2 linked regions of the Tribolium castaneum genome follow. The protein of the gene in region 1 binds, or shares a complex with, the protein of each later gene. Links are inferred from orthologs where the notes say so. Each region holds a gene or a part of one and is shown in the gene's direction. Other genes may lie near its edges. The genes, in order: TfIIEbeta and Polr2J.

Region 1 (4,506 bases):
CAAAAATGGAAATGAAAATTTCTGGATTAAAAAGCAACCTAGAAGATTAAGAAATTGGCTCAAAAGACGTTCATAATTTAACTCAACATTTAACGAGTTGTTTTAAAAAAATATCTTTTGAAATTTGAAGAAAATACTAAATGAAATATAAAAATGTACCTTCTTCGCGTATCGCAGAAAAATTAACGGAAATTAAAACTGCTGAAATACCTGTAGCTATGTACCTATGAATCTTTTTGTTTTTTAAAGATTCACTGTTAATTAGGTAATGTGTAATGTTAGGTAGTTAGACGCAACTTAAGAGATACTCTTAAATGGGCCTACTGTAGACCAATTTTTAATTCGTGATCTTTTTCATGTAAATGAAACAAACATAAAAAAAAACAAAGGTTTATTCAAATTTTAGTTATTATTATAAGTTATTTTTTAAGCAAAGTGAAGTGAAGGTTCGTATCAAAGATATCAATTACCTTGAAAATGTCAACATTAACACTTCTTTCGATAGCCAAAAGAGATAATGAAGACAACCTTTCTTGGCCAATCTTCCTAGTGTTCGTTTTCAACCGCCGCAAGCGAGAAAAAGACCTCTCACAAGATGTTGTGTTTATTGGAATCGCAAAAAATAAACATATAAAGGTCAAAAAGTAGAGGGAACATACTTTTCATAGCCCTTCAACAAAAATGTCGGCTCTTTCTTGGATAATTTTGTTTTTTCATTCTTCCATATTACAAATAATGTTGAGCTGAACAATTTTGGATGGCAATTGCCACCCCCAAATTACGCACTGCCCCAGGTAGTCTTAGCTGGGACAAAATTGTCTCAAAATTGGCGAATTATTCCGAGTTCAGAGCGTTGTAGAGTTCCGTAGCTTAAATGTATGAGAAGACACAAAATGAAGATTTACTTTGAATTGCGTTTTCTTCAAACGCGGGCTAAAAATTTTAGTGTTTATTGTTATTTATGGTGTTCTTAGATGATTGTAGAAAATAATAATTTAAAACTAATTAAAAAATTGTGTAATTTTTTTAGAAAAAATATTTTATTCATTCAACTTGTTTAATTTTTCTTAAAAATGTAACAACAAATTACAAAAACTTAATTTTTTTACACCAAAATAAAGCTATTTTTTAAGAAATCGACAATCGTTTTACATTATTATTCTCAACAATCATCTTCACCATAAATAAGAATAAACACTTAAACTTTTAGTCCGTATTTGAAGAAAACGCAGTGCAAAGAGAAAGTGATCTTCAAACCAAAGTAATGGGGAAGCCCCGAATCTTCATTTGGTTTCTACATTTGGACTACTGAAGCGATTCTTTACTATCTTTACAATGCTCTGAACTCGAAATTCGCAAATTTTGAGACAGCTTGCATTGTAAAACAAAAACCAAAAAACCTCCACACAGCAAGCTAGTAGTTGGCATCACATCCGATTAAAAACTAGAGTTAATTAACAACGATTATTACTACATATTTCTATAATTAGTAATTAATTAAATAATAATATTGCAAAAAAATATATAAAATTCGGTTCAAGGAACAGTCGGCCACAAAAGACAGACAGCGCAAGGCATCGGTCCCCCACCACTTGTCACTTTGACAGCCGTGAATGTCAAATGCAAAAGAAAACAGATGATTATTCCTCAAACAACATAGTTCGTATTATTTATTTATTATTTCTCCAATAAAATGGACCCCGCCTTACTAAAAGAAAGAGAATTATTCAAAAAACGTGCACTTACAACTCCTACGTAAGTAGCATTCGCATTTTGTCAACTTATTCAGTTAATTTTGTTCTACTTTCAGTGTAGAAAGAAAAAAGACTGATTCAAGACCAGAACCAACTCGCGATGATAGCAAAAGGTTTAAGTCTTCTAGTAGTAGCACCCCTAAACTTGATATCAACACGTAAGCAGCAAAACATTGCAAATTTGAATCAATTACTTTGTGATTTTTTTTTAGATACAAAACAGCAACAGGAAGTTCGCAATATCGATTCGGTGTTCTCGCTAAAATCGTGAAACATATGAGGAAGAGACACCAAGAAGGTGAAACATATCCACTCACATTAGAGGAAATTTTAGACGAAACTAATCAATTAGACGTAGGGAATAAAGTCAAGCAAGTAATTTTGTGTCATTATTACAATACTTAAATGTAATGGTGTTGATTTAAGTGGCTGCAAACCGAAGCGTTAGTCGATAATCCTAAAATTGAGGTCACTCCTGACGGAAAATTTTTATTCAAAGCTCCATATAAACTTAAAGACAGGAAAAGCTTACTGAAACTATTGAAACAACAAGATTTGAAAGGGTTAGGCGGTGTGTTGTTAGACGACGTGCAAGAGTCGTTACCACACTGCGAAAAGGCTTTGAAGGTATCATTCTTTTAGTTATTTTCTAAACGAACGACGTACAAATAAAACGTCTCCGACTTCAATATTTTCGGTAATGTCGCCAAAAAGCCCAGTTGACTATTTAAATAACTATTAACACAATTCAAAAAAATACAGGCACATAGAGCATTAAATTTTCAAGAGTAACAACTAAAAATAATGCAAAAATTTCAAACATATTAATTTGCAGTGTGACCCATATTTTTAAAACGCTGTTAATTTGGTTAAAGATACAAGAAAAATGTTAGGAACAAAGTAGTAGAAAAATCAATTTTCTACAAAAAAGTCCGCGACTATTTTTCTTTACAACTTTGTTCTTCACACTTCTTTATACCTTTAAACGTATTCGCTATGTTTTAAAAATTATAACGCGGATTGCAAATTGATAATAAATGTTTATATTTTTTTGCACTTTTAATTTAAATTAAAAACTTAATACAGAAAGAGTCAGAGATTAAGATAGTGGAAACACTTTATTGAAAACAGTGTCAAAAAATCGCATATTTATATATATGAAAACGCTGCGAATTCAACTAAAGATGTGTAAGAAGCATAGATGTAGAGAATTAAATTTCCTACAAAAAAGTCCGCCACATCTTCATTGGTTTAGGTATAAATTAATTTTCCAATACTTGACCATAAAATGAAACGAAACCGCTGTGTGAGCATTTTTAAACATTTTTGGGGCCTAAATAGTTGAAGATGTAGATATGGGGTCGTATGAATAAAGTTGAAGTATTTACTTAAAGTATGAGTATAAAGGAAAAGCATTTGCTCTTGCTTTTACTTCTTTAGTTTTTTGGAGAATCTGCTCTCAAAATAAATCATTGTAGTGAAGTTTTCAATGTTGTAATTTTTAAAATGGATTTCCATCTCCTCCCATTTCGTTGTTCTCACTCAAAAAATACCTAGCCAAAGCACGAAGATTTTTTCGTTCAAACCGATATAAAGTCTTAAAATCTTATCCTATGTGTTCGCGAGGTTGTTTATAAGTTTTTCTTACCCATAGTTGCACAACACCCACCATTGTTTCGAGTTTGAGGTGTTACTTTTAAAAATTGATGCTCCTACTGATTAGCGTCAACAATTTTGAACTAAATCCTCAACGAAAAAAGCATTTACTTTGTTTTATTCATTTTGTTTTGAGTAAAACCTCGACGTTCAAGCAAATACTCGCCCAGTGTGCTTTTACTTTTAGTAAAAACTTATACTTACATTTTTACTCATACAATTTAGAACATTTACTTGCAAAATTTGAAGTAAAAGCATTTACTCAATTGTATTCATACGGCCCTTGGTTTCGCAGATTTTTTAATAGCTATTTATTGTATAAGTGTTTTCGAAAGCATTTTATCCACGCAAGAATGTTTAATATTCTCAAGTGGATAAAATGCGACTAAAACATGAATGCAATACAATGTTTTATCCACAATCGTAAAATTAATCTTGGCAGGCTTTGTCTGGTAGTCATAATTCCTAGTTTATTCCACTAGTGGATAATAGGTCACTATAAGGCTAAAGGGGACGACAGAGTTAAACCAAGTGTGTGGCAAAGACAAGTAGTAATGAAATTTATTTTTCTACTTTTGGCGATATTTGTAATCCAATTTTAAATCGAAAAATGGAATTGACTCTTTTAAATAATTATAATTTGAGACAACGTAAGACTTTGAAAAAAAATTATTTGATATTTTTTTATTAAAAGTTTAAACAAATATTCATAATATTTTTAAAAATGTGTACGGGAAAGATGCACAGTGATGGTACGAACAGAATGCGTCCAAAAAACGAAAAATTTTGTTGTAGTTTTGAACGAATCGCGAATATTCATTTTGACAAAATTTGCCGCCGAGAATCTCCCACAGTCAAGTGCGGGACAAGAGAAAGAGAGGGCAAAAGCAACTAAAGACTAGAAGATGTAAAACACGATATTTCTGTATCCTAGTATTATTCATACAAACAATTATGGTGTTAATTCTATGAACTGAATTTAGTGAAGCATCAACAAAATCTTTTTTTTCACTTTGGAAACAATAGGTCAAATTTTAATTTATTTTTGGTAAAAAAATTATTTTGTCATGAAGATTTCTGATGATAGATTGAGAAA
Region 2 (2,858 bases), on another chromosome or scaffold:
ATCCAGGTTGGAACCTTCTTCCGTAATGGACATCGGGTTAACGTAATAACGTTAACTGTCATGAATAACTAGATCAAAAGTTTAGTAAATCGCATGGTATTTGGATGAGCACTTTAAAAACAGGTCTCTTAAAATTGTGTGATACACACTGTATTTAATAAGGTACCCAACAATTTTTTTAAAAATTTGTAAGCGTAGATAACTTCAATGTTTTTTAAATGTAGGATCTATAATAAGTATAATATATAGTAGTAATAATACAATATTAATTATTAATAAAAAAAGTTAGTTGATATACCAAATAAGTGCTACTGTCAACAATTAATGAATAAATTATTTCATTTTAGCATAATATGCAAAAACAATAAAACTAAAAAACAGAAAATAAGAAAAAAGTCACAAAATAATAATCATACCAATTTATTCTAACAATTAGGCTAAAATTACCGAAAAGTAGTCGGTGTTGTCTTCTAAAAATAAAATAATTTGACGTTTTTAAATGTTTTGTTAGTTAAAAATAGCAAATTGTTTCATGTATGAAACTCGGAGCCAATGAATCAATTTCGGAAAAGCCCGAAATCAGCCAAAAACTTTAAATAAATCACTTGTCTCCAGGCTACCGTCCTAAAACATCGATTTCTTCCAAACTAATGACAGGAAGTTATGTATACATAACCTCAACCTCTAATGAAAAAACCATTTGACAAGCCACCGCCAACTTTATGAACATTTTTCTTTTTGTACAAAACCGGTAAAACTAAAAAATGATCGAGTTACTGAAACTGGAACAATATCCGCAATTTTAGGGCGTGTAAGTTAGAAAACCACAGCGACTAATGATAAGGAAAATTTACTCACACGACCATTCCGTATGCGCCTTCTCCAATGTATGATAAGTTCGTGTAACGGGGGCCCACCTCAAATACCTGACCCCTTACAACTTCTGCATTCGGATTTACACTTGATACACCTGTGGCTTCCGCCATTTTTAGCGAAACCTCCTAAACTACCTTCCTCGATGACAAACTCACGCACACTGAAGCCACAGACTGAAGCAGAGAGGAGCCGATCCCTAATATTTATCAGCTGATATCAGATCGTTATTATTCACACTTATTACCAATTTTTTCAAACTCCAACTAATTGTAGACTCGTTAGTAACGTTTTCACGTGGATTTTTCCAAATTTGAGGCTTTTTTGGTTTTTAAAACGAATTTATTCCCAGAAAAGATAGCCAAATAACGCGCCCCCTGGTGGACCAACTGAACACTAGTCGGGAAGCACCCTAATTTTATTTTCCATTATCGAACCCACAATAGGGCTACAATTTTCATTTTGGCGGCATTTGTAATACCCTATTAGACGTTCGATAAGTTTTTAAACAGAAAAATAAAAAATTCCGATATTTGGTTTTTGACAGATGACAGGACAGGTGACATAACCCACAAAAAAGTGACGCACTAATAAAAAGTTGTTAAAAATTAATAAGCGGTTTAAAAAGCTCAGTGAACAGTATTTCCATTCAGGATGAATGCGCCACCAACCTTCGAGTCATTTTTGCTCTATGATGGAGAGAAAAAGTGAGTGGGCAAATTCTCTGGACCAAAAATTTATTTTTACAAATTGTGTTTTTAGGATAATAAGGGAACAAGACACAAAAGTGCCAAACGCGGCTATTTTTACCATAAACAAAGAAGACCACACGTTGGGAAACATGATCAGAAAGTGTGTAACAAAACATTAAGGTTTAGGTTGAATTATTTTTGATTTTTTAGCCAATTGTTAAAAGATCCGAACGTTTTGTTTGCTGGATACAAGGTGCCTCATCCACTTGAGCATAAATTTGTGTTGAGAATTCAAACAACATCTGATTATTCGCCTCAAGAAGCTTTGATGAATTCTATCACAGATTTGATTTCAGAGTTGTCTTTGTTTGAAGAACGTTTTAAGGAAGCGATCAAGGAAAAGAAAGAAGGTTTAGATTAAGTATTTGAATTTATTCACTAATAATAAAGTTTATGCTTCGATAAATCAGTCTTTGTTATGTACCCAAAAATATGTCTTGCGTCCCAGCGTCAAAAGTTTAAAATGACTTGTTTATTTATGATGGTTAATAATTCGTTTTCAATTTTTATTCAAAATAAGCTATTTAAGATTTATTAAAAGGTGGCAAAGTCTGTGCTTTAAAGCACTTACGTAAATACAGTAAAACCTCAGTGATCCGTGTACACAGGCTGTCCGTTTTGCGAGCTCCACCATGAGTAATAAAATTTTATCGGTCTATTTAAAAATTAGCCTGTATATCGAAAGTGAGTTTTCAATTAAAAAAAAAACCTCAAAAATACTTTAAAACTTGGATGATTTTTGGCTAAATTTTGAAAATAATTCTGACTGCACCGTTATGTCATTTAGGTATTTAAGAACAATTTCATTTTTGTTTACCTTTCCAGAAATTTTTTCTGACTTAATTATAATTATAGTGGTTGAAGAAAGAAACGAGCATGTAACTGTTATTAACAGAAAAATATATTTTTATTTAATTCACAATCCTTTATTTACAATTAACCTCATCAACGGATAACTTACAAAACAACTAATTTGTGTCAAATAAATATTAACTAGAAATTTTTACAAGATATTTATTAATTTGCTAAATAAATTATTAATAACAGAATATGTTCTAAAATGTCTGATCCTCCTGGCAATCTTCTGTGGCATGACCAAAGGCTGAAACAGTAATTAAACCAAATGTTAGAAAGTAAAAATTCTTACCTTCGCATATTTCGCAATAAGGCCTTTCCGGCACATGTTTATGCTCCCCCCTCTGTCCTCCATTAGCCGGCGCTAAGTCAGTATTT

What was found.
Region 2: TfIIEbeta (region 1) and Polr2J share a complex: the UniProt entries of both Homo sapiens proteins name them as parts of the TBP-based Pol II pre-initiation complex. The link is inferred for Tribolium castaneum from reciprocal best matches to the Homo sapiens genes GTF2E2 and POLR2J.

What each region holds. Positions count from the first base shown.
Region 1 is NC_087396.1:10,271,536-10,276,041, reverse strand, and holds the start of TfIIEbeta (general transcription factor IIE subunit 2), read left to right. Parts: upstream 1-1,578; 5' UTR 1,579-1,693; coding exon 1,694-1,755; intron 1,756-1,810; coding exon 1,811-1,912; intron 1,913-1,966; coding exon 1,967-2,129; intron 2,130-2,180; coding exon 2,181-2,381; intron 2,382-4,506. UniProt on the Homo sapiens protein: Recruits TFIIH to the initiation complex and stimulates the RNA polymerase II C-terminal domain kinase and DNA-dependent ATPase activities of TFIIH. Both TFIIH and TFIIE are required for promoter clearance by RNA polymerase.
Region 2 is NC_087395.1:21,131,084-21,133,941, forward strand, and holds Polr2J (DNA-directed RNA polymerase II subunit RPB11), read left to right. Parts: upstream 1-1,284; 5' UTR 1,285-1,527; coding exon 1,528-1,580; intron 1,581-1,635; coding exon 1,636-1,725; intron 1,726-1,775; coding exon 1,776-1,986; 3' UTR 1,987-2,031; downstream 2,032-2,858. Other genes in the region: mitogen-activated protein kinase 1, read right to left, coding at 859-986; uncharacterized protein CLIP-190, read right to left, coding at 2,681-2,727, 2,773-2,858. UniProt on the Homo sapiens protein: Core component of RNA polymerase II (Pol II), a DNA-dependent RNA polymerase which synthesizes mRNA precursors and many functional non-coding RNAs using the four ribonucleoside triphosphates as substrates.